2 linked regions of the Anolis sagrei genome follow. The protein of the gene in region 2 interacts with the protein of the main gene of each other region in a pairwise test. Links are inferred from orthologs where the notes say so. Each region holds a gene or a part of one and is shown on either strand. Other genes may lie near its edges.

The links.
Region 1: the proteins of APPL1 (region 2) and FSHR interact in a two-hybrid assay, tested with the Homo sapiens proteins (2 studies listed by BioGRID). The link is inferred for Anolis sagrei from reciprocal best matches to the Homo sapiens genes APPL1 and FSHR.

Annotation. Positions count from the first base shown.
Region 1 is NC_090021.1:20,247,066-20,259,457, reverse strand, and holds the start of FSHR (follicle-stimulating hormone receptor), read right to left. Parts: upstream 5,746-12,392; 5' UTR 5,735-5,745; coding exon 5,571-5,734; intron 1-5,570. UniProt on the Homo sapiens protein: G protein-coupled receptor for follitropin, the follicle-stimulating hormone. Through cAMP production activates the downstream PI3K-AKT and ERK1/ERK2 signaling pathways.
Region 2 is NC_090022.1:57,955,116-57,967,434, forward strand, and holds the start of APPL1 (DCC-interacting protein 13-alpha), read right to left. Parts: upstream 4,863-12,319; 5' UTR 4,756-4,862; coding exon 4,702-4,755; intron 1-4,701. UniProt on the Homo sapiens protein: Multifunctional adapter protein that binds to various membrane receptors, nuclear factors and signaling proteins to regulate many processes, such as cell proliferation, immune response, endosomal trafficking and cell metabolism.

The sequences.
Region 1 (12,392 bases), on a different chromosome or scaffold from region 2:
CTCATGCGAGGACATGAGAGAAGCGTCTCACAGGATGGCAACCTATCCGGGCATTCCCTGGGCAACGTCTCTGCAGATGGCCAATTCTCTCACACCAGAAACAACTTGCAGTTTCACAAGTCACTTCTGACACGATAAAAAAACCCTGCCATGGCTCAATGCTTTTGAATCATGGGAATTGTAGTCTGGTGAGGCACCAGCACCCTTTGGCAAAGAAGGCTAAAGACCTTGCTGGACTACATACCAAAGATTTCAATGCAATGAGTTATGGCAGTTCAGGTGTTGTTATGGCAGAACTGAAGACCGACAGGTCAGAGGTTCAAATCTGGGGAGAGTGCAGATGAGCTCCCTCTGTCAGCTCCAGCTCTCCATGCGGGGACATGAGAGAAGCCTCCCACAAGGATGGTAAAACATCAAAACATCTGGGTATTCCATGGGCAACATCCTTGCAGACGGCCTCTTCTCTCACACCAGAAGTGACTTGCAATTTCTCAAGTCGCTCCTGACACGAACAAAATGTGTTGTCAAGCTGCATTAATTCTACAGCACAAATGCAGTCCAAAACTCCATGAAAACTTTCTGTCCTGAGTCCATTCTCTCAATGTAAAAATCTGAACACATAATAGAGGGTCAAAATGTGCTCTTGTCCTGTTGCTGTTGCCAATTAAAAACCCAAGAGTGGAACAGGGTTGCAGGCAGAAGCCATAACAAATGAGTGTATGATGGGGTTGCTAGACCCTCGGCTACTGCCTGGAGTTTCGGTGGATTGTTCCCAGGCGGCAGGTGAAGATTTAAACTTTCCAGTTGTCATGGAGTCAGTCAAGAGATAAGGCTGCATGCAACCTTTTGCTCAGGTAGGGAGCCTTCTGACTGGCTGGGCAGCTTGCTGTGCTTTGCAAAGGTTAATTGTTTTAAAGCCAGTGTTTCAATTTGCAAAGACATTTAATTTCCAACCAGGAAAATAGGTTCCAACTCTGCATGTATATTTTATGTTTGCACAACAAGCTGTGTGTGTCAGAGAGATTCTTGCTTAATACATAATGTGTGATGACAGCATTGGGCTCCATCCTTGTGACATCATCAGAGCCCATACTGAAGATCGACAGGTCACAGGTTTGAATCCGGGCAGAGGCAGATGAGCTCCCTCTATCAACTCTAGCTCCTCACGCGGGGACATGAGAGAAGCCTCCCAGAAGGGTGATAAAAACATCAAATCATCCGGGCGTCCCCTGGGCAACGTCTTTGCAGACGGCCAATTCTCTCACACCAGAAGTGACTTGCAGTTTCCCAAGTTGCTCCTGACACAACAAAAACAAAATCAGAGCCCATTCCTTGGTCTCATATTTTGAGATCAATAGGATCGTCTTGCTTCCTGTCTAAAGAAAAGCTCATATAATTGTGATTGCCTAATTGAGATTAATGGTTGCTTCACATGAGAATTAGCTAACATGCAACCTATGGGCAGCAATCAATCCCACACCCCCCTGAAATCCTCCTGGCATTACTTCAGAGGAGAAATTCACTTAGTTTGATTCTTCTTTAAAACAAACTCTAATCTAGACCTAACTTAGGCATAAAGACTTCTACAGATGCGGACTGCAGCCAGGGAATCAGAAGATGTTTACTTCTTGGGAGGAGAGAAATGACCGATCTTGATAAAACGGTTAAGAGTACAGACATCACACAATAAAGGTCCGCATAGTTAAAGCAGTGTTATTCCCCATAGCAACCTATGGATGTGAGAGCTGGGCCACAAGGAAGGTTGAGTGAAGGAAGAGAGATGCTTTTGAACTGTGGTGTTGGAGGAAAATACTTGGACTGCAAGAAGATTCAACCAGTCTGTACTTCAGAAAATAAAGCCCAACAGCTCACTGGAGGAAAGGATATTAGAGGCAAAGATGACATACTTTGGCCACAGAATGAGAAGACAGGAAAGCATGGAGAAAATAATGTTGCTGGGGGAAACTGAAGGAAAAAGGGAGAGGGGTCGACCAAGGGCAAGATGGATGGATGATATCCTTGAAGTGATTGGCTTGACCTTGAAGGAACTGGGGGTGGCGATGGCCAACAGGGAGCTCTGGCGTGGTCTGGTCCATAACATCATGAAGAATCGGAAACAACTGAATGAATAAACACACACAGACCTAACTTTGATCCTCCATCCTTTTCAAATGTTTCTAGGAAATCTGAAATTGGCTTCCAGATAGTTTTGGTTTTGGAGGGAAATAGGGTAATGGTGAAGAAAAGCCCACCAAATAGGAGATATACACTCCTAAGTCAAATTTCTTGTTAAGAGACCACATTTATGAATCATTCATGGATTGTGAGTTAGAGGAGATTCAACATAGACAAAAAGAGGATTTTTTTTTACGTGGCACACAGTTAAACTATTGAATTTTCTTACACAAAATAAGACAAGGATGGGGAAGGCTCCTTCTTTGGAGGCTTTAAAGCAGAGGCTGGATGGCTATCTGTTAGGGTGTGCTTTGAATGCGATTTTCCTGCTTCTTGGCAGAATGGGATTGGACTGGATGGCCCACGAGGTCTCTTCCAACTTTATGATTCTATGATTTTAAAAGTATGGCCTACAAAGATCTAAACATGCAGCAAACTGACCAATTGCTTTTCTTGGAAATTTCTGGGGGGGATGGGGACAACTGATCAATGAAGTGTGGAGATTAGGTGCAGTTCTCCAAGCTCCCAGGAACACACTTTCAACCATTTCCTTCCCAGATATTGTTAATACTCTCCCCATCCATAAATGTATCATGTACTCCTAGGTATTATGAATATATGACTTTTCAAAATACTGTCAGCCACTCAAAAGAAAGCATTGTGGTGGCTATCACAAGTATTCTTTACTATATATTTTGATCCACAGGTTCTCCTCCTATTAGTGAGTTCAAATTGCCACTTTTTATCTCTCCTTGCTCTCATCCGGCTTTCTTCCAATTTTGGATTGTTGAATGATTACTTAAACAGGGGGACAGATGTGGGAAATGGATAAAAAGACCTAAGAGAAAGAGAAAAGAGCTGCCACTAAAATATATCCCCAGATTAAATCTGAAACAGATTTGGGGATGCTTCTTTAGGTTAATAGTCTAAGGAGGTTCAGAGAAAGGTAACAAAGTTTGTGTAAGACTTACTAAAATCTGCCTAAGGGGGTTGGGATGGTTCTATTTATTTAAGAATTTAATCAGATTTTGTGTTGTCGAGGGCTTTCATGGCTGGAATCACTGGGTTGCTGTGAGTTTTCCATGCTGTATGGCTATGTTCCAGAAGCATTCTCTCCTGATGTTTTGCCCACATCTATAGCAGGCATCCTCAGAGGTTGAGGGGCCTGTTGGAATGCCCCTCAAATGAGGTTTCTGTATCTGTGGATATATATCTTCTCCCATTCTGGACATTTCACAGATATATAAACCTCACTTGCCTAGTTTTCAAAAGACCTCACAACCTCTGAGGATGCCTGCCATAGATGTGGGCGAAAGGTCAGGAGAGAATTCTTCTGGAACATGGCCATACAGCCTAGAAAACTCACAGCAACCCAGGGACCAGATTTTGTCTGATACAAATGGCAACATCAATTTCTTCTTAGGCATTTGGTGTGGTCAATCCTGGTCATTGTGAATTCTGCATCCACAGATTCAACCATCCATGGCTTGAAAAGAAAAGAAATCCCCAAAGAATTTTTTTTCTATGCCATTGTATATAATGAGACTTTGATACTCATGGATATCCACAGGGGTCCTGGAACCAAACATGAGTAGATACTCAAAGCCCACTGAATAAAAAGATATATGAATACAATCAGGACATGCAATTAAACATCACAATGCAAATTGTTCCTGTTTAAGACTGCAACCAGCTAGTCATCCATTGTCCTCTTCAAGTATACTCCATTCCACACATCCTTCTCTCTTTAACTTCCTTCTCCTTTTCTTCTTTATCTTCCAAAATTCAGTCAGGCACTCTTTGGTCACTGAGCCTGCTCAGTCCCTATTATGCTTCCTGCTTCTATCCTTTAGGACCCCTGCCTCTTGTAATTCTGTAAATCTGTTAATTCCCTCAAGACTTAGGATATCTCCCTATTATGTTCAGGCTACATAGATCCATGCTCAAAGAATAAGATTGGTGCTAGCCAACAGTCCAAATACACCCTAATTATAAGTTGCTAAATGAAGAAGTCAACAAAAATGGTTATTTTTCCAACAAACAAAAATACCAGCACACTTGTGGCATAATTATTTTTTAAATTATTATTTTATGAAAATGTTGTGCCATAAAGTACCCTTTAAGGTGAATTGCATGGCATCTATCATGACTTCTTGCACTCTCCCATTAGTGGAACCATAACTGGTCTATAAGTAGGAGCCCCCGGTGGCACAGTCAGTTAAACCACTGAACTGCTGAACTTGCTGACTGAAAGGTCGCAGGTTTGAATCCGGGGAGTGGTGTGAGCTCCTGTTGTTAGCCCCAACTTCTGCCAACCTAGCAACTTGAAAACATGCAAACATGAGTAGATCAATAGGTACCACTCTGTCGGAAAGTAATGGCACTCCATGTAGCCATGCTGGCTACATGACCTTGTAGGTGTCTACGGACAATGCTGGGTCTTTGGTCTAGAAATGGAGATGAGCACCAACCCCCAGAGTTGGACATGACTGGACTTAATGTCAGGGGAAAATCTTTACTTTAACTGGTCCATATCTTTACTCAATGCATTTGTAGGCTAAACTAAAAATCGGTTGTAATTTGGCTAAATGTGATGAAACTCCATATTTTTTTTAGTGATGACCACACAGCTAAGTGCTGGTGGTATATTTTAGTGTTAGCAAACTGGAGCCACATCTGATAAAGAACATTGGCTGTTTCAGTCTGTGCTAAAATAAATAGGAACTTTAAGTAACTGTCTTGCCGTTGAGAAATCCAACACAAGGAGCTGCCTCCATTTATTCTCATTAGTTGTTCTAGGACTGTTTCACTCTGCAAGGACTATTTGGTCTTTTGTTTGGACTTTATCTAAGATTCCTTTCCCTAGCTCCTTTTTGAACACATCACAAAGTTCACAAAGTACTTTTTGTGATCCGAAGGCAAACAGCTAACTTCTCACTGAGAGAAATGAAAAAGAAAGAAAACAGTTCTCTATATGGAATCCCAATGAAAATGCCAGGTTCTAAAAAAGAACCAACAACCAACACCACCAACATTCTTTATCAGATGGAATATAGAAAACCTTCAATTAAGCCAACTATACTTTGGCACACAAACTCTGTAGTTTCAGTTGCGTTGAAGTAACTGTGTTTCAGAAAGAATGTTGAGCACTTTCATATAAATTACTGGAGACACATCCAGAAAAAAAAAGTTGGCCGAGCTAGTCTTTGCTCATTTCAAAATGCTTTCGGGGAAGGGGTGAGCAGGTCAAATATTGTTTCTGGAGGAGTTGAGCATCCCTTTTAGAAGGCCGTCATCACTGTCCAGATGTTTTAGGAGCTCTTTCCCCTGCAAACCAGAGCCTGCTATGTAACTTGGCAACATTTCTTTGCTTGCTTTTCCCTCCCTTTACTCACAGTTCGGTGGAATTCCTGGGGATGTCCTTTGGCACGGAGGTCACCTTGTTCTCCTGGCAGATGAAGGCCATCCTGTTTGAGCATTGGCAGAGCGGATGTTGGCAACCTGAACAAGTCCCCGAGGGAAGCAGCAGCAGCAGGAGGCAAAGGTAAACCAGAGCCATCCTTGCCTTCACATTGCCCTCTAGTCTGTCCACTGAATGGCAAACTCCTCCTTGCTTCACACTCACATTCTCTCACTTCTCTGAAGCCACGCCTCAGAGGCCTGTGGAGAGTTACGTGAAGTCCAAGGAAAAGATCCTCTGTTTCATTGCTTCTCACACACATGGGTGTGTGTGTGCGCGTGTGCGTGTGCGTGTGTGTGTGTAGCAACATTTTCCACTCCATTGTGCCAAGGAACAACACTATGTTTATACCCACTGGGTACAGATGTTTTCTTCTTTTCTTCAAACTTGCCAGTAACCAGTGGCTGACTTTGGAGACTTTTAAACAGAGGCTGGATGGCCATCTGTTAGGGGTGCTTGGAATGTGATTTTCCTGCTTCTTGGCAGGGGGTTGGATTGGATGGTCCATGAGGTCTCTTCCAACTCTATGATTCTATGACTAGCACCAGTCCAGAGTAGCATTGCTCCATATGGACTATACCAGGCATGGACAAACTTTGGCCCTCTGGGTATTTTGTACTTCAACTCCCAAATTCCTATCAGCCTACTGGCTGTTAGGAATTGTGAGGGTTGAAGTCCAAAACACCCAGATGGCCAAAGTTTTCCTATGCCTGAGCTATACTCTGCCAGGGTCACTCAGACTAAATGGAAACAAGGAGCAGGGGGAAAAATGAGGGCATTGCCTCTCCAAACTCAAAATTCTGCCTTTTGGTAAAAGTTCTCTTCAGTGCCAAAATTTCTATCATTACACTGAGACACTGAAAATCATCTTCACCTAGAATTCTTACACTTGCAATGTTTGCATATGCAATGTAACATAGCCTGCCCTTACCTTTGGATACTTAAACTGTAATATTTATGGCTCGAATATTAAATTATTGTAATGATTGCAATTTGGAGAGTGAAGGAAAACTTCACTGAGTTAGGAGGCAAACATCTTTTTGGGAGGGATAATACCCTAAGTGCACCTCCCAGTCCCAATTGCTACACTCTTGTGATGAAGTGATGATGCATTTGATGCCAATAAACATTTACATGCAACATAGGATGGAGTCAGTGAAAAGGGCTATGGATGATGCTTTAGGTGATGAAAACAGTGGTACTTTTAAGAGACTAAGGAGAGAAAGGCAAGGTGGAGCTTGCCATGAAACTGGTGCCTTGCTTGTCAGTGGAGCTGACCCCAACCTCAAAATAAATCCAGCACTTTGGATAGCTCCTTCAAAGTTCACACTGACATGTAGATAAATTCCAATCCTTGCTGACATGGAGCTCACCAGCAACTTCAGGAGTGTTTTGGGGAGTGTTGACTCCTTTTTATGTGAATGTATGAAACTGCCTTATACTAACTCAGTCAGTTGGTTATTTTAGACCAGTATTTCCCAACCTGCATCCTTCAGATGTGTTGGATTAGAACTCTCAATACCCACACCATCATGACCTTATCTAGACAGTACTAGACATTTCTTAACATTTCAAGCAGAAGATCTTATGCTCTTCACCCATTGCATGAAATCCTTTGAAATGCCACATGCCATGCTTTATCCATGTTCACTATCCACTGTATCATACAGGTTTAGTTCATAAAGTTTAATCAAACACAGTTAAACATCCACAACAAGTATACCATCATAAAATGAGAAACCAGTTAAAACAAATACATCAATAAAGATATATAGTGCATCTTGTACAAGGCCTGATTTCCCTGAGGCTCCATCTGCACTGTCATATAACCCAGTTTCTGAATCCAGATTGTCTGATTTGAACTGGATTATATGGCAGTGTAGACCTGCATAATCCAGTTCAAAAGTAATATTCAGGATTCAGAAACTGGATTATATGGCAGTATACATCCAGCCTGAAACATCAATTCTCAAAGGACTACTTGAATAAAAAGGTTTTTATCTGTTTGCATTAGTGTGAATGCGAGCCTGGCTTGAACTCTTCTTCTTGACATATTGATTTAATTCTGCAAGCAATATCTATGTGGTGTTTGGATTCACATTCAATTACATAACAATTGTATCTTGTCTCTTTATTTGCAGCCTTATCATATAGGGCAATTGAAGTGTCCTAGGATGCTTTTGACCCGGTTCACCCATGGAGCCCCATGCCGTTCCTCAAACAATGTAGGTTGACTTTCAGTGGAGCTCCATAGGAAAACTGGAATCTGCCCCATGTTCCATAAGGAACAATGGGGCTTTGGCAGAGCAGCAATGCTTCCCCACAAGGGATGGAGAAATGTCAGCTGGCAGCTATTGACCTGCTGCCACCATAATTCACCACGAAGGCTGGTGAATCATGACAATGGACCTCACCCATGTGATGAGGTCCTTAGGTATTTTGCTGCAGCTTTCATCCACTTACAAACAAACAGACAGACAGACAAACCAAAAGAACTCACAGCAGCTAACAACATACCTAAAATCAGAGTTAATAATAAGAGCATTAACTCCATCCTTTGAAACAAATCCAACTATAAACCATTAAAATCAATAATCAGTAACGATCAAAACAGTGAAAAGGGTCAGTTGAAAGAGGCATGCCCTCACACCTTTGGAGAGTGAAATATGACCACAATACAGAAAGGAGTCCATTTCACAATTTGTAATTGAGAGAGATTTTTGGTGGCCCATTGAACATTTCCAGAAAAGCCTCCATAAATATCCTTGGAAGGGATGCTGCCTGTCATTCATTTCAGAGCTTGCCAAGTCTTTCAGTAGTGTATATAAACAAACAACAAAACGCTGGACTGCCTGCCTTGTTTTCTCTGACCCGAAAGCAGTCTAATTGCAACAAGACAAAGAAAGATCACTTGCAGTGAATGCGCTTTTGGGGTTGCTAAGAATGGCTCTGTAGTTGAGGTTTGATCTGTAACAATGTTGGAATGAAGCCTCTGGTTGAGTGGAGAGAATGGGAAACTCCAGAGAGTTGTGATGTGATGGAAACAGACAGACATTAAATCAATATGTAATATTTCACCAAGACTGAAATGGCCATGGTCCTGAGAAGGTTATCTGATTTAGGAGAACATTTTCTCCCCGGTGTTTCTGCTCAAGAAGGGGCTGGCTGACATCTTATTTTGTTTTGCTTTGTTTAGCCATGTTAAGATAGATGCTTATCTTCAATGTTGCAAGCAAATGCACAATGACATAACCAAACATATGGGTAGTTGAACACACACAGACACACACACACACACTAGTATTGCTACTGAATGGTGGCAAGTAGCCTCCATGCAAAGGTTAAGGAAATAGTTCCTATGAATCAAAAATGCTCCATGGGGGGACTATCTGTTGTATATCTCCATGATACTTTTCCTTCCACTGTTATACCAGGCTGGCTTTGCATTAGGCAGAGTGAGGTAGTTGCCTCAGGCACGAATAGCCTGTCACCGGTTAGCAATGACTGCATACTGCAGATATGTTTATTGGGGTTTTTGAACTAGATATCAAAATAACTTGACCACACTTGCATATAACGACATTAGTAATGATTTGGGAGATTATGATGATTTAAACTTCTGTTTTAGGAATCAAGGAGGAGTTGTGGCTTCCATGTCATTGTGGTGATGGATACATTTTGGCTTTCATTTTGAACTTCAAAGAACTTCTGGGGATAGGATTCAGCACCTTAGATAGTTCCTTAGAGATGGAGTTAAAACCAGGAATGTATTTGCTTCACTACAGGTATGGACCTCATGAGCCTACTCTGCTATTCGTGCTAAATAACTTTCATATCCATTTTTTATTTTTTAAAAGACCACAGTCTTCTTTCCATCGTGGCATGATATAATTACTTCCTTTGATTTTGTACAGTATGCATTTCAAAATGGATTCAGAGCCATTTTCCTTTGATTAGTTATTATTTGAGGGGATGCCTAATACTGGGAACCTCAAAGGACTTCTTGTGGCTCTTGAGGGGCAGAGAATCATACAAGTAATTGGAGAGGGGACTCCTATGACCCATAGGTTACATATTGCCCAATTGTGCCATAGGTCTTCAACAGACAATGGATTGTTCTTCTTTGGGCAAGGTATAGAGAATGTTGCTATCGATTCTTGCTTGAGGAAATTCTTTTGTCTTGGTTTACACAACTTGGGGGCTACAAACAATCCATTGTGCAAGGGAGGAGGGGACAAGTCCTATGTGACATGATGCACCGCAAAGGTATCAACAGTACTTAGATGAAAGAAAGTTTCATATAAACACAAAGATTGATTTTTTTTATCCTGCTGATAACTAGCAGTGTAATTCTTTATTTTTCAAATGAAGCAACAAGCAATCATAGCATTTTTCCTCCCCGTAAGTCTTTGAAAATCATACAGTTTTTGAAGGGTTTTGGGGTTTTGCAATCTGGAATGCATTCTGCACTAAATTTACACATGGTTGTTTTGTACAGAAAACATTTCTGGCCAGAAACAAATATTTTATGAATAGAAAATTCTGTTTTCTTTACAGAAAGTGATTTTTTTCATGCAAACTATCTACACATTAATTTTCTTTAGGATAAGTCCCTGATCACAGTCTTCTCTTTGCATGAAACTGGTTTTTTTCTGTGCGAAAAAAGAAAATGCTGTTTTTAAAAGCAAAACAACAACTTGTGAATTTTGTGCAGAAAATTTTTCAAGCTGCAAAGATTGTTGTCAGTTTTAAATAGGATTTCATTGACACTAAAAAGGTTTTTTAATAATTAACAATATTTTCAAATATTCTTTCCCTCCCTAACCATGACCTCTCTGGATATTAGAAGTCTTCCTGTTGGGAATACACCTCTCCTCATCTATATGGTAGTCCCAATTCTGCTCTGGATTTTGCCTCCATAAAACCAGGATTTTATCTCAATTGGATTTCTGCACAAACTTAAGTATTAACCTCATCCCCTGCTTTATGTTATACGTTTCAAAGTACTCTGCAATGAGCAAGTCTTCCTACATTTTCTAATTTCTTGACCCCCTAACCCCAACAGTTTAGGAGATGGGAAACAGCACTGTATGAAATAAAGGAAAACCACAGCACTGATGGAAATTTGAAAGAGAAATGAGAATGTTAAATTGTCTGCCTACTCCCTCACCCAAAGATGCAAATAAGGAACTAATCCCTTTAGTGGACTGAAAGTTTCTAGGATGAGGGCATGTTATTATAATAGAGAATGTGGAAGTCCATGCTCAAAGCTACAGTAAGCTGTTCCCTGACTCTTCTACTGTGAGAGGTTAGCTGGGTTTAGGGATGTGGATATCCCAGTTTCATTATGCCTTATGAATCCCACCTGCCTTTTCTTCATGTCTCTGTTTCATATGTGATTGTGAGACTTTGGTAGTCAACAATGTAGTGTATTTTTTTCTGCAAGCAGAACTATGTTTAATCTGTTCAACCCCCATCAGAGAAGTGTGACCCTATAGCTAGATGACCCTATAGCTAGATGCAAACCAATAATAATAATAATAATAATAATAATAATAATAATTTATTTATATACCTCTCCATCTCCCCGAGGGGACTCAGAACAGTTCCCAAGTAATATCACAAAACATACAGAGTAAAAACAACATAACTATAAGATTAACAAACAAAATATAAACATACAAATTGTCGCCACAACACACATATACAGGGTTAGTCAAAATGCATAGGCCAATAAGCCATTCAATTGAATGGCTTATTGGCCTATGCATTTTGACTAACCCTGTATTAAAAATAAGCCTGCCTGTTCAAGGCAATTAAAAATTTAAAAGGCTGGGCCAAGATTTGTGCAAGCCCCAAAATTCTAGGGGGCCCGGGAATTAAGTGCAATGCTATGGCAGGCAACAATAATATTAGGTATGGGTCTGTTGCTGTTCATTCTGGGGCTGATTAGAGGAAAGAATCTGGGTAACTGGTAGGAAGAATAAGGCCGTCTGGGTAACTGGTAGGAAGAATAAGGCCGTATTAGACAATGTGTGGGGCTGAGTTAGAACTGGTCATTTTCAAAGGCTTGTTGAAACCACCAGGTCTTCAAGCTCTTACAAAAGGAGGGGAGGGATGGGGCCTGTCTTATTTCCTTTGGAAGGGCGTTCCAGAGACGGGGGGCCACCACTGAGAAGGCCCTCTCTCTCTCGTCCCCACCAACCGTGCTTGAGACGGTAGTGGGACCGAGAGGAGGGCCTCCCCAGACGATCTTAGAGTTCGCGCTGGTTCATAGAAGGAGATGCGATTGTGGAGATAGGCAGTGCCCGAACCATTTAGGGCTTTATAGGTCATGACCTGCACCTTGAATTTGGCTCAGCAACTTATCGGCAGCCAATGAAGCTGTTTTCATAGGAGTGTTGCATGCTCCCTATAGTTACAGTTGACCCTCCACATTTTGCAGATTTAATTACTTGTGGATTTTGATTAAAAACATCCTCTCTAGGTCCTCCAGTGGTTTATTTTGAGTGGAGGATCACATTAAGTCACATGGGAAGAGAGAGGACCTCTAGGTCCTCCGGTGTGATTCTATGGACAACAGATAGAGAATCTCAGCAATACATGTGGAATCAGGTGGAGCTCTTTGGAGAATAAGATGGTGATCATAAAGTCATGCTGGAGAACGTAGAGATTCCTAGAGAAGAGTTATCTCATGTAAAAAATATTCCCAGGAAATGTGGAGGGCTGAATGTACATCACATCATTTGAGATCTAC
Region 2 (12,319 bases):
TTCCAAGGTCACAGAATGCTATTGGTCTGTTTGGGGTGGGATAGAAAATACACCAGGTCATCTGGTGGTGCAGTGGGTTAAACCCCTGTGCCAGCAGGACTGAAGACCGACAGGTCACAGGTTTGAATCCGGGGAGAGGCGGATGAGCTCCCTCTATCAACTCCAGCTCCTGGACATGAGAGAAGCCTCCCACAAGGATGATAAAACATCAAATCATCCGGGTGTCCCCTGGGCAACGTCCTTGCAGACAGCCAATTCTCTCACACCAGAAGCGACTTGCAGTTTCTCAGGTCGCTCCTGACACGACCAAAAAAAAAAAAACCTGGAAAATGGCACTGTTAGCTAGATGGCAACATTGTACCTCACACTATCACATATTTGGTAGGAAGGGCCCGGCTATGGTCTTTTACAAGCAATCACCTATCACTCTAACACATGGGAAAATATCTTTCACACAGAGACATACAAACCAATGTTTCTCAGTAAGAGGTGTTCAGAAGGGTTTATGCCTTTACCTTCCTGAGGCTGAGAGAGTGTGACTTGTCCATGGTCACCTAGCAGGGACTTGAACCCTGGTCTCCAGAGACATAGTCCAACATTCAAGCCATTACATCACACTGGCTTCCTTGAAGGACTGATCACTAGCCTTTCTAAAATTTCCCTCACTCTCTCAAGTGTAGATGATCACTGAAGAAATTGGTGGTTTTCTTTTCCAGTTGTGATTTTCTATTGGCAAGCCTTTTCTTTTACTGGTTCAGACATTATATTCCGGGCTTGCATGTATCTTTACTTCATTGCACTGGTATCACTGAGTCTTGAGCCAATCAATCTGGATGTAGACATCTGCAAAGTCTTTCTAAACTATTTACCTGAGCCTGAGATAGTTTCTCTAATCTATTTTGTATCAAGAGTCATTATTTCTGAATGTTTTTGAAACACATTCTCAAAATTCAGTGGTACTTAAATCTAGTTGTGGTTATGTTAACATACAATCCTAATGTAAAGCAATGTCTTCAAGGCTCCTCAAAAAATTATGGACTCCTCTATCAATAATGGTGGCCAAGCTGCTCACTTCATCTCAGTGCAACATTCAAATAGATGCATTCTCAGTGTGATAGCAGAGACTCACAGGATTGAGCACTCTTTCTTATGACACAACTGGTTTGAGACCTAAAATATGATGCAGAGTCTTTACACATCAGACAGATCAGGGTGGAAAGATTCCCCCCCCCCCAAAAAGAAAGAAAACTGTAGTCCAATTTAGTGAATCGAGCAAGCAGCCAAAATTAAATCTGAACATTCATTTATTATTTCATGTTCACCATGTCCAAATGTTATTTCATACTAGTAAGTTTATTATGAAAGTTTGGCTCACTTAGCCAATAATGGAAGATCTCTTGTACTGAATAGGCAATGTGGTTTACATACAATCTCCTGAGAAATGAGTGATATGGAAAAATGTTGTCATCACAACAGTTTTACTCATTCAGCTTTGCAGATCACAACCCTCAAAGACATTTCACCAGTCTGCCTTTAACTGTGTGGAAAGTCTTGAGCAATGGTTTTGACAATGTACTGGCCAGCCACAGAACTTCACATTAAAGTGAAACATGGCTGTTAACTACAATGTTTCTCTGTCCCTTGATAAAACACCATGTATAATGTTAAATGGTTCTGATTGTTTATACATTTAATGTGGCTTTTCAGTTGTTTTCAGATAAAACCACATAAAACATAACACTAATTCACCTGCAATGCCAATCTATAGTTTGGTGTAATAAAATCCAGGTTAAAGGTATAGCTCTTCCACTCCTTGTGGGCTCTAGTTAAATAATTCTTGGTTTGTGGCAAACCATAGATTGTTGTAATAATGAAAGTACTAGGCAGTAGTTCGTGTTTGTTCTATGAACCAATACAGATAAAATCCTAGAAATCAGTGTTTCACTGAGGGGTTTCAGGGCAAGAAAAGTCACATTTTGGCATCATAAACTATAAACCAGGAGGCAACAATGTACACAAACAGTGCTATACAGACAAGGTTCGGCATCTTGTCTTGTTTGTCCAAACCGCACTGAATGTTTGCCGTGTATGTGTACTGTGATGCACCCTGAGTCCCACTGGGGAGATAGGGTGGAATATAAATAAAGTGTTGTTGTTGTTGTTGTTATTATTATTAAAAACAACTTGTAAGATTACCCCTAATTATACATTCATGGTTAAGTTGAGATTGAACAGGAGTTTCTTAGCTCATAATTCAAGACTGTAACCATTTTTTTAAAAAAAATCTGCTGATATATTTGACTAGAGAATATATAAACAAACTATCATTTGATGATTTTACAGAAGAATGCTTATTATTAAGAACTGATTCTGATAGAGCTTTTGGAGTATAGAGGTTCTATATAATGCAAAAAGTGTGAAATTACCACTAAATTTGCAATCTCATTCTTACTTGTAAGTAATTCTTGTTTGATTTGTGTTGGAGTAAAAATACATAGGATCAGGATGTAAGATAATACACACACTGTAGTTACAGTGCCATGTCAATGTGGATTATAATAAAGCCACTGCACTCAAATAGCAGTGTAAAGGGTAATTTATTGAGCTGTAAGAATCTTTTATGACACTTGCACACTATTGCAATTGCTGTAGCTAAGAGCACAGAACACAAAAAGTTAGGACTATAAAGCACTTCTCAAACAGCTTTGCAGATCAGAGTGCAGGAAGTATTTCAACCTCCTCATGTATTAAATATCCTATGCAGGAACAGATGAGAAACTATAGTTTACTCTTCGGGTAAATCAGAAGATATTGCTCAGCATCATTCTCTTGCCACACAGGACACAATGATGATTTTTCCATAGTTGAAACGAAAATCTCAAACTCTTATAACTAGCAAATTCATTACTGCCTTTTTCGGAATGAAAAAAACAAAACCTCTCAGTCTAAATTAAAATGTAGTGTTTAACAATTTCACACAATTCTAATGGCATACATTTGGCATTTCACCTTCAGACCAATGGGAAAGAGAAAAAAATACTGAAATATGCATATACCTATAAAATCATAGAGCTATCTAGTCCAACCCCCTGCCATGCAGGAAAAGCACAAAGTATAGATTAACATAATACAAAATAAATACATATGACATTATATATTTATTTTTATATTCTTATATTTTTATACTTTTACAATTTATTTATACAGATTTTAATGGTTTAATCTGATTATGGTGTCATTTATGAGGCCTGGCTAAGATATATATTTTAGCCAAGCTTGTTCAATTCTTCTATTTTTAAATGTGTATTAACTGTTTGCTTTAATTTTTAAAATTTGTTACCGCACATGGCATTGGATGTTTGCCATCTTTTCTTTTTGGAAGTTGCTCTGAGTCTCTCTGGGGAGAGAGGGTGGGTTAAAAATAAAGATTATTCTTACTAATAATAATACTTTTGAGGCAAAACTCTGAACAGGTTTCACCAGAAGCCAATTTAGCTAATGCAGCATTTAAGATGACAATCTCAGAGCAACCAATAAACAAATCCATCTGACCAAAGAGGAAGGGTGGAGTAGGCACACTGAGGCAGCAATTTGAATCCTTGCACAATATAATGATAAAATAAGAACGCTTTATTTGTATTCAGCTCTATCTCCCAGAGGGGACTCTCCCTCTCTCTCTCATATATATATATATACACACACACACACAAAACGGGAATATAATTTATCCAGATCTGCTGCTCTTTTCACGTTATCCTTGATGGAAATTGTAGTGCTTCAAAGAAATATTAGAGCAGTAGCTCCCCAGGTGTTTTGGCCTACAACTCCCAGAAATCCCAGCCAGTTTACCAACTGTTAAGATTTCTAGGAGTTGGGTTGTTGTAGGTTTTTTCGGGCTATATGGCCATGGTCTAGAGGCATTCTCTCCTGACGTTTCGCCTGCATCAGAGGTAGTAAGGTCTTTGGAACTAGGAAAATGGGTTTATATATCTGTGGAATGACCAGGGTGAGACAAAGGACCCTTGTCTGCTGGAGCTAGGTGTGAATGTTTCAACTGACCACCTTGACTAGAATATAATGGCCTGACAGTGCCTAGAGCAAACTTTTGTTGAGAGGTGATTAGATGTTCTTGTTTGTTTCCTCTCTGTTGTTGTGCTGTTGTAATTTTAGAGTTTTTTTTAATACTGGTAGCCAGATTTTGTTCATTTTCATGGTTTCCTCCTTTCTGTTGAAATTGTCCACATGCTTGTGGATTTCAATGGCTTGTCTGTGTAGGAGTTGAAGGCCAAAACATCTGGGGACCCACAGGTTGAGAACTACTGTATTAGAGCTTGTGGACACTTCTGTATAATTGGAGCATTCCTAACAACACGCAGGGCGCATCCACACCAGGCAACCTCAGCCTCCAGTTCTTAGAAGCCCCAGCCAGTATGTTCAATAGCCAGGAATTGTAGGAATTGGAGGGTGAGGGTCTACTCTACACTCTAGAGCAGGCGTGGGCCAACTTGGGCCCTCCGGGTGTTTTGGACTACAACTCCCACAATTCCTAACAGCCTACCGGCTGTTAGGAATTGTGGGAGTTGTAGTCCAAAACACCCAGAGGGCCCAAGTTGGCCCACGCCTACTCTAGAGTGAACGTAGTTTGGCCTTTCCGCCTTCTCTCCACACGCTTCGACGCCCAAAACGGGCCCAGCGACCGACCTGAGGGCTGTCCTCCAGCGTCTCCTCGATGGGCAGCTTGTCTATCCCGGGCATGGTGGCGGCTGAGTCTCCTGCACAGGCGAGGCCTCCCTCCGCGCCCTCACGACGGGCCTACCTCAATCTCCGCCTCAGCGCAACTACCGCACGGAAGTCCCGCCCCGGCCCCGCAGCAGGAAGGAGGGAGGGAGCCGCCCGCGAGGCCCCGGCGCCGCTTCCTATTGGCTGAGAGGGAGGCCACTCCGAGGAGAAGAGCGATGACGACATTAGCAAACAACCCCTGTGGTCCTCCAGCCTGTGTCTGTTTCCCAAAGCTTCCTCTCCTTCTCCTTTTGTAGACTTCAGGCACGGACCAGGAGCCACTCAGGCACTGATGCAGTTTGGCACCACTTCTAAACAGCCATAGCTGTGAAATGGTATAGAACATGTATTGAGGTTCCAGGTTTTAACCTGCCACTTTTGGACTCTCGCTTGCTGAGATGTTCCTGCAAGTATCTCTGTAGATCTTAAAAAGCTATTTATTGATTTAAGGTGTTGGCTTGCTGGCTGATACCCAAACAGAGGATGGGCCAGAGATATCAATGACTTGGTCCTTTAATTACAGGCTACTTCCCGATTGATGTCAGGTAGTGCTATATCAGCTACTTGACATTTCCCCAGTGGTTTTTTTGTGTTTTTTTTTTTGTCGTGTCAGGAGCGACTTGAGAAACTGCAAGTCGCTTCTGGTGTGAGAGAATTGGCCATCTGCAAGGACGTTGCCCAGTAGACGCCTGGATGATTTGTTGTTTCTATCATCCTTGTGGGAGGCTTCTCTCATGTCCCCGCATGAGGAGCTGGAGCTGATAGAGGGAGCTCATCCGCCTCTCCCCAGATTCAAACCTGCGACCTGACGGTCTTCAGTCCTGCCGGCACAGGGGTTTAACCCACTGTGTCACCGGGGGCTACTCCCTAGTGGTGTAGGGCGTAGACATGGGCCAACTTTTTTGCCTTGGGGCTGCATTGTGGGCCTGACCGAGATGGCTGGGCAGGGAGGGAGAGGGCCTGTGAGAGAGTGGAGCTGGGAGGGGGCAGGGCAGGACCCGGATCATCCTCAAATTCTCCTCCTGGCTTAAGGATGGGGCTGCTCACCTCATCCTTATGCCAAGAGGAAAATTAGACATGCAACAACTGCCCCAATCTTCCTCCCTGATCCTCCCCCAATCTTTGGACTGTCCTCTCAGCATTATGCTGGGAGGAGGTAAGACAGACGACAGCTGAGAGCGCTTTGGAGTGCTCTTAGCCACTGCCTTCCTCAGGCTGTCCTCTCAGCATAATGAAGGGGCCACTGGCACATTCCTTATGCTGGGAGGAGGGTGAGACATGCTGTGGCCGAGAGCATTCCAGAGGACTCTCAATTGTTACGTGCCTTCCGCCCCTGTCCCTTCTGCATAAGGATGCAGCAGGCCACTTGTCCTTATGCTGAGACGTCAGGGACAATGAGGAGAACCTGAGGTAAGCACCCAGGGGGCCACATCCGGCCCCCGGAGCTTAGTTTGCCCATGCCTGGCATAGACATTCTGTGATAACGCGGCATGTCTCATTAAGAGCCACATCCACTGTTTTCATGTAGTGAAATGTATTCCACACTGGGCATGTGTATTCAGCAGCAGAGTAGCGAAGCACAAGGGCAGATGCCTTCACTGTGTCTGGTTGTGATCCCCAGGTTGTGCCAGTCAGCTTTCATATGATATTATTTCTAGCATCCACTTCTTGCTTGATATGCAAGCAGTGCTTCTTGTAGGTCAGAGCATGGTCCAGAGTAACTCCCAGGATTTGGGTGTGCTGCAATGCTCCAGTGATAATCCTCAGAGCTCGAGATGCTTGTCTGTTCTTAAGATGGAAAGCACACACCTGTGTTTTAGATGGATTAGGAATCAGCTGGTTTTCCCTATAATAGGCAAAGAGAGCTCCTAAAGCTTCAGAGAGCTTCTGTTCAACCATTTCAAGGCTTCCTGTTTAAGCGGTGATGGCACGATCGTCAGCATAGATGGAACTCTCTGTCCATTCTGATAGTGGCTGGTTTTTGTGTAGATGTCAAACACTAATGAAGTCAGCACGCTCCCCTGAGGCAGGCCGTTCTTCTGTTTTCACCATCTGCTTCTCTGACCCTGGTACTCAATAAAAAGCTCCTGTTTTGTAGCAGATTGTAGTCCTTTTCAGGAGGAGGTGATGATTTACAGTACCATAAGCTGCTGAAACGTCTATAAAGACAGCTCCTGTAATCTGCTGCCTTTCAAAACCATCTTCTATGTGCTGAGTCAGGTTCAGCACTTGTGATGTGCAGCTTTTTTCAGAACATACACTGGTCTATTTTTTCCATAATTCTTTGCAGGATTAGTCTCTCCAGAGCTTTATAAAGATGTAGAACAAGAAGATTGGTCTATAGCTTTTTGCATCATTATGGTCTTTGCCTGGTTTCAAAATGACTATGACTCTTGCTTTCCTCCAGATTTTAGGGATCTGACAGGATGCAATGCAGTTGTTCATCAGCTTCAGCAGCCAGCACCATGCTTTTGGACCAAAGTTTTTAATTTGTTCCGTCTGTAGATCATCCAGGTCAGCTGCTTTGCCATTTTTACATTTATAGAGAGGCATTTCCAATTTAGTAGATGTGAAAGGTTCATGAAGGTTGTTGTTATTATCTCGTTGTCTAGTTTCCTTCCTAGTTTGGTGGTAAGGTTGGGTTTCCCGTTCTTCAAAAGTTGATGCACTATCTGATCTGCCTTTACGTTGGCATGGTTATTACTTTGTGAGGACTCATTGCTCAACCGTCTTAACAGCCTCCATGCCTTTTGACTACTCCCGCCCATATTGCCTTCTGTTATCAAGTTTATCTTTCTTGGCTTTAGAGGAGGAGGGCAAAATGCTTGCGCGGCTTGAAGAGTTTACTCATTAAATTGGTCTTCATCATGGAGCCTGTAATACTAAATGTCCTTTGTATCAGGAGTAATGCCCAAGGTAGTGTGTTCTGCAGCCTTTCAGTATAGAAGCCCATGAGTAGGTTTTTACTATTTCAATAACGTGCTCGTATTCTTCAGGGATTGGGGTGACCAGTATGATATTGTCATCTAACACATCTGAGAATTTAAACCAGCATTGAATATAATTTAAGACAGCATGGTATAAGGTTTTGAGTGCTGCAGTATAGTGTTGAGAAATTAGGATTTGAATCCCCACTCAGCAATAGAAAAAAAAACTGTGTCACCTTGAGCAAGTCACACTCTCACAGCTTTAGAGAAAGTCAAGGACAAAGTGTCTCTGAATGAATTCTGCCAAGAAAACCCCATGATAGTGTCACCATAAGTCAAAACTGACCTGAAGGCATGCAAGAAACATTTTGCTTATCTAGTATGTTGCTTACTTAGCTAAGTGCCTGATACTAAACAAGTTGAAATCAAACAGGCATTACTTACAGTAATGATTTTGGTTTACATATATTGTTTGTGAACTCGAGATAAAAGTAAGAATTGCTCTTAGTATGAAATGTTTGTTCTTTATGAGATAAACTGCCTTAGAAAAGACCTTTCATACAATAAATTATTAACGACAACTGAATCACTTGGTCATTATGTGTTTAGGTATTCATTTTCTTCTTCTTCACGGGTTTGTCAGAAATTCTAGTACAGCAGCAAAATAGTCTCATGTCTCTTTTAAAAATTAAATTGCGAAATGAAGTTTATTTAATTCTATTGCTAGCAAAATACTTACTAGGGTGGTATGCTAAAGATACATGTATTGAAATAGTAAAGTGCACACCCTCAAGGTAGTGTTGTATTTTATTTTTCTAGTCTAGTGCCAGCTATTGTGATTCTGGCTGTGCCACTGAGATATAAGAAAGGGAGAAGGAGAGATCCTCTTAGTATGCCACTCTTTAGTTAACTTTCTGTCTACCAATTCCCTTATTTATCCTCTTGGTCTCAGGAAAACGACTCCCCTGATTCTCATGTAGTGTGGCTAGTCCTCCTCCATCCTACTCTTCCTGGCATCTCACATTTTAGTTACAATTTCAATTTCTTTTGACTAAAAAATAAAAGTTCTGTTTTAATTTAGTGCACAGTGTCCTCCCGTTGCTATTTTTAAAAAGGGGTTGATAAATTTCATGAAGGTATTGTAAACACTAGATGGCAGCATTATAGAGCTGTTGTTGAGTGTTGATTCTACAGTATATAACATGAAACAGCAGTAATGTCAGTAATGAAAACAAATGTATTCAATTTGCACAGTTCATCTATTTTTTCTGTTACATTTTACCATCTATCTATACACACATTTGGCATTTCCCCCTTTAAAGAAAATCAGTTGTATCAGGGGAGTGGCATCTATTCACAGCTAAACAATAGTAATGGGGAGAAACTGTTCCAAGACACACGGAAATTGGAAAAACTAAGGACCAGGAAAGCACATCTACTGTGCTCCCTGACTTTCCTTCTATGCTGCAGAGACACAGATACCATCCCACAATTTCTCGCAGCCAGAAGGCACCCTGGTCATTCCACAGATATATAAACCCATTTTTCCTACTTCCAGCAGACCTCACTACCTCTGAGGATGCTTGCCATAGATGCAGGTGAAACGTCAGGAGAAAAATTGCCTCCAGAACATGGCCATATAGCCCGGAAAAACCTACAACAACCCAATAGTAATGTTTGCTACTACCCCCACACACGTAATATTGTTTGGATACTTCAGATTAAGTTTCAAGTATATGCTCAGTGAAATAGGAGCCTGCTACTTTTTAGGTTTTTAGTTTTTTGTATGAAAACCAGAACTTGGAAACTTTATTTTTCCTTAAGTACTTTCTAGCGAGCACCTGGCCAGGTATATGCTGGAATACTTAATAAAGTGCAACAATAGAGCAGAACTAAAATCCTTTAAACATTAAGCATTTCCTCAGCATTTAAATCTAATTGACAGAAAAGCAGCATACACTGGGACAGGGTTTGGTTCCAGGACACTCTCCCCCCATAGATACCAAAATCTGTGGATGCTCAAATCCATTAAATATAATGTCATAGTAAAATGGTTTCCTTTATATAAACTGACAAAATCACAGTTTGCCTTTTGGATTTATTTTTAATATTTTCAAGCTGTGGATGGTTGAATCCATGGATGCAGAGTTTATGGTTACGGAGGCCAACTATATCATTTTCATCAGGGCTTAGTGCGGGGAGAGGTACAACAGGTGTCACTTGGTTTGTTCTGCATAATTGAAAATATTTTTTGGTGCAATCAGCAAGTTTGTTATATTTTTGCAGAGTCTTTCTTAACTCTCTTGCCCACTGTCTGTATTACTGCCCCAGATCGATCTAAAATAGCAGTCAACAGAAATTGCTGCCATTTGTTGAGAGGCTGCAACTCCCTTCCCATGCAAGGGCCCCCATTCCTCAAACACCATTGATCACTGCCCTGCATGTCAGAGCCCCATGCAATAGGTTTGTGAGGAATTATTTTCACTAAATTGGCCCTGGAGCATGTGTAAAAAGTGAGCTGCCATCCAAAATGGGTGAATCCAGAGCTGCCATAATTTCCAATATTGTTTCTTGTTGTTTCCCTTTATACTAATCAAAATCAGGGTGTGGATAATATGACAATAATTATTAATGACAAAAAGGCTAAGAGAAGCTGCAGCAGTTTTGCTTGAGTGTACATGTGCAGCATTTTTTTCGAAAGAAGCAGAGCATGCTTGAGGACTGGGATATCAAGGGATACCAAGATGCTTCTTATAATGCTATTGTCCTCCCAACTCTGTTATAGACATGTAAAATGTGGACCATCTACAATGTCACTTTCAACTTCTGGAATGATTCCATGAGCGTTGCCTCCAAAAAAATCCTGCAAATCTCTGAGGAACACAAGCTGACAAATGTTGGCATGCTGGAGGAAGCAAAGACCACCAGCAGTGACACGGTGATCCTCTGCCATCAACTTCACTGGATTGGCCACATTGACTGGATACCTGATCACCGTCTCCCAAAGCAGTTACTTTACTCTCAACTCAAGAATGGAAAACAGAATGTCGGTGGACATCAAAAGAGATTTATAAATGGACTTAAATCTAACTGCAAAAATTGTGCTATAGACACTGAGAACTGTGAAGCCCTGGCCCTCGAGAATTCTAACTGGAGGTCAGCTGTTACCAGCAGTGCTGTGAATCTGAAGAGGTACAAATGGAGGGCAAAAGAGAAAAACGTGTCAAGAGGAAGGCGCATCAAGCCAATCCTTGTCGAGATCGCCTTCCATCTGGAAATCTATATCCTCACTGCAAAAGAAAATGTACATCCAAAAGAGGTCTCTAAAGTCACTTCTGGATCCACTGTCAAGACTCTCCACTTGGAAGGCAATCATACTTGGCCACAAGTGATAGCCGATGATGATGACAAGTGCACAGCTCTTTCCTTCGTTCATCTATTCCACCTCATAGAGTAAATTGAATTAAAACTTTTTTTCAATTTCACTTCTGATTGCAGCAATGTGGTAATATTGAGGACATAAGAGTTCATGGGAGGGATACTCTCTTGAAGTTCGCTATGTTCAGTGCTGGATTTGCCATTGTGCTGAGGTGTGCTTAAGCACAGGGCCCCGTTTGTCAGAGAGGGCCCATCTTCCTGCAAAAAAAAAAAAAAAAGATAGATTTTGCTTATGTGGTACAAGTCAAAATGTGAAGTAAGGGGCTTCATAACTGAAGTAGCACGGGATCTCATTTGTCCTAAATCTAGCACTGACTATGCTGCTGCCTTTCCATGTTGGTGGGGGTTGCAGGGTTTTATAGTGCTGTTCTTAGGATTTCCCATGTCTTTCTGCGGACACTGGCAGACGATCTTTCAGAGATGATGCCAGTGTTAGTTCAGCTAATTCTAAATGAGCTGGTACAGCACAGAAAGAGATACTGATAAATCACCATAGAATATCCTTTACCATGATGAAACAATAAAAGTAATAAAGCACAACAGTATTGGAAGATTAAACTACCGGGTCAGAAAGCATTAATCCAGCTATTTTGGAAGAGCTGACAACAATTACCAGTATTGCTGTATCTAATAATGATTCTAGTGGATTCAGGCTGGAAAGGACATTCAGCAGCTGACGTGCTCAGATGTGAAAGTTGAAAGCTGCACAATAATGGGAACATGGCATGTGAAGAGAACAAAGCAGTCATCAGTGGCATTATACATAGTGAAATGTCTTCTAGAATGGAGAAATGAGGGACAGTAATTTTAAATTTCTGTTCATGTTTGGAAAATGTTGAAAAAATGAATCAGACCATATGATAAACAGAACTGAGATGCTGTTTAACAATTTACTTTGTGTTACAAGTCTCTGTTACCTGAACCCTATTGGTAGTCCCATTTAGAGAAAACAATTTGATTAAACTGATTTTGTGTAAGTGTTGACTCACCATTCAACTTTTGCTGAATGGGTGTACTCTGTTTGAGACTACTCCTTGGATTCAGACGTATATACTTGAAATCAGCAGTTTTCAAACTTTGGTCTTCCAGATATAATGGACATAATCTCTCAAAGGCCCCAGCCAATTTGTTCAGTAGTCAGGAATTCTGGGACCTGGAGTTCAAAACACCTGGAT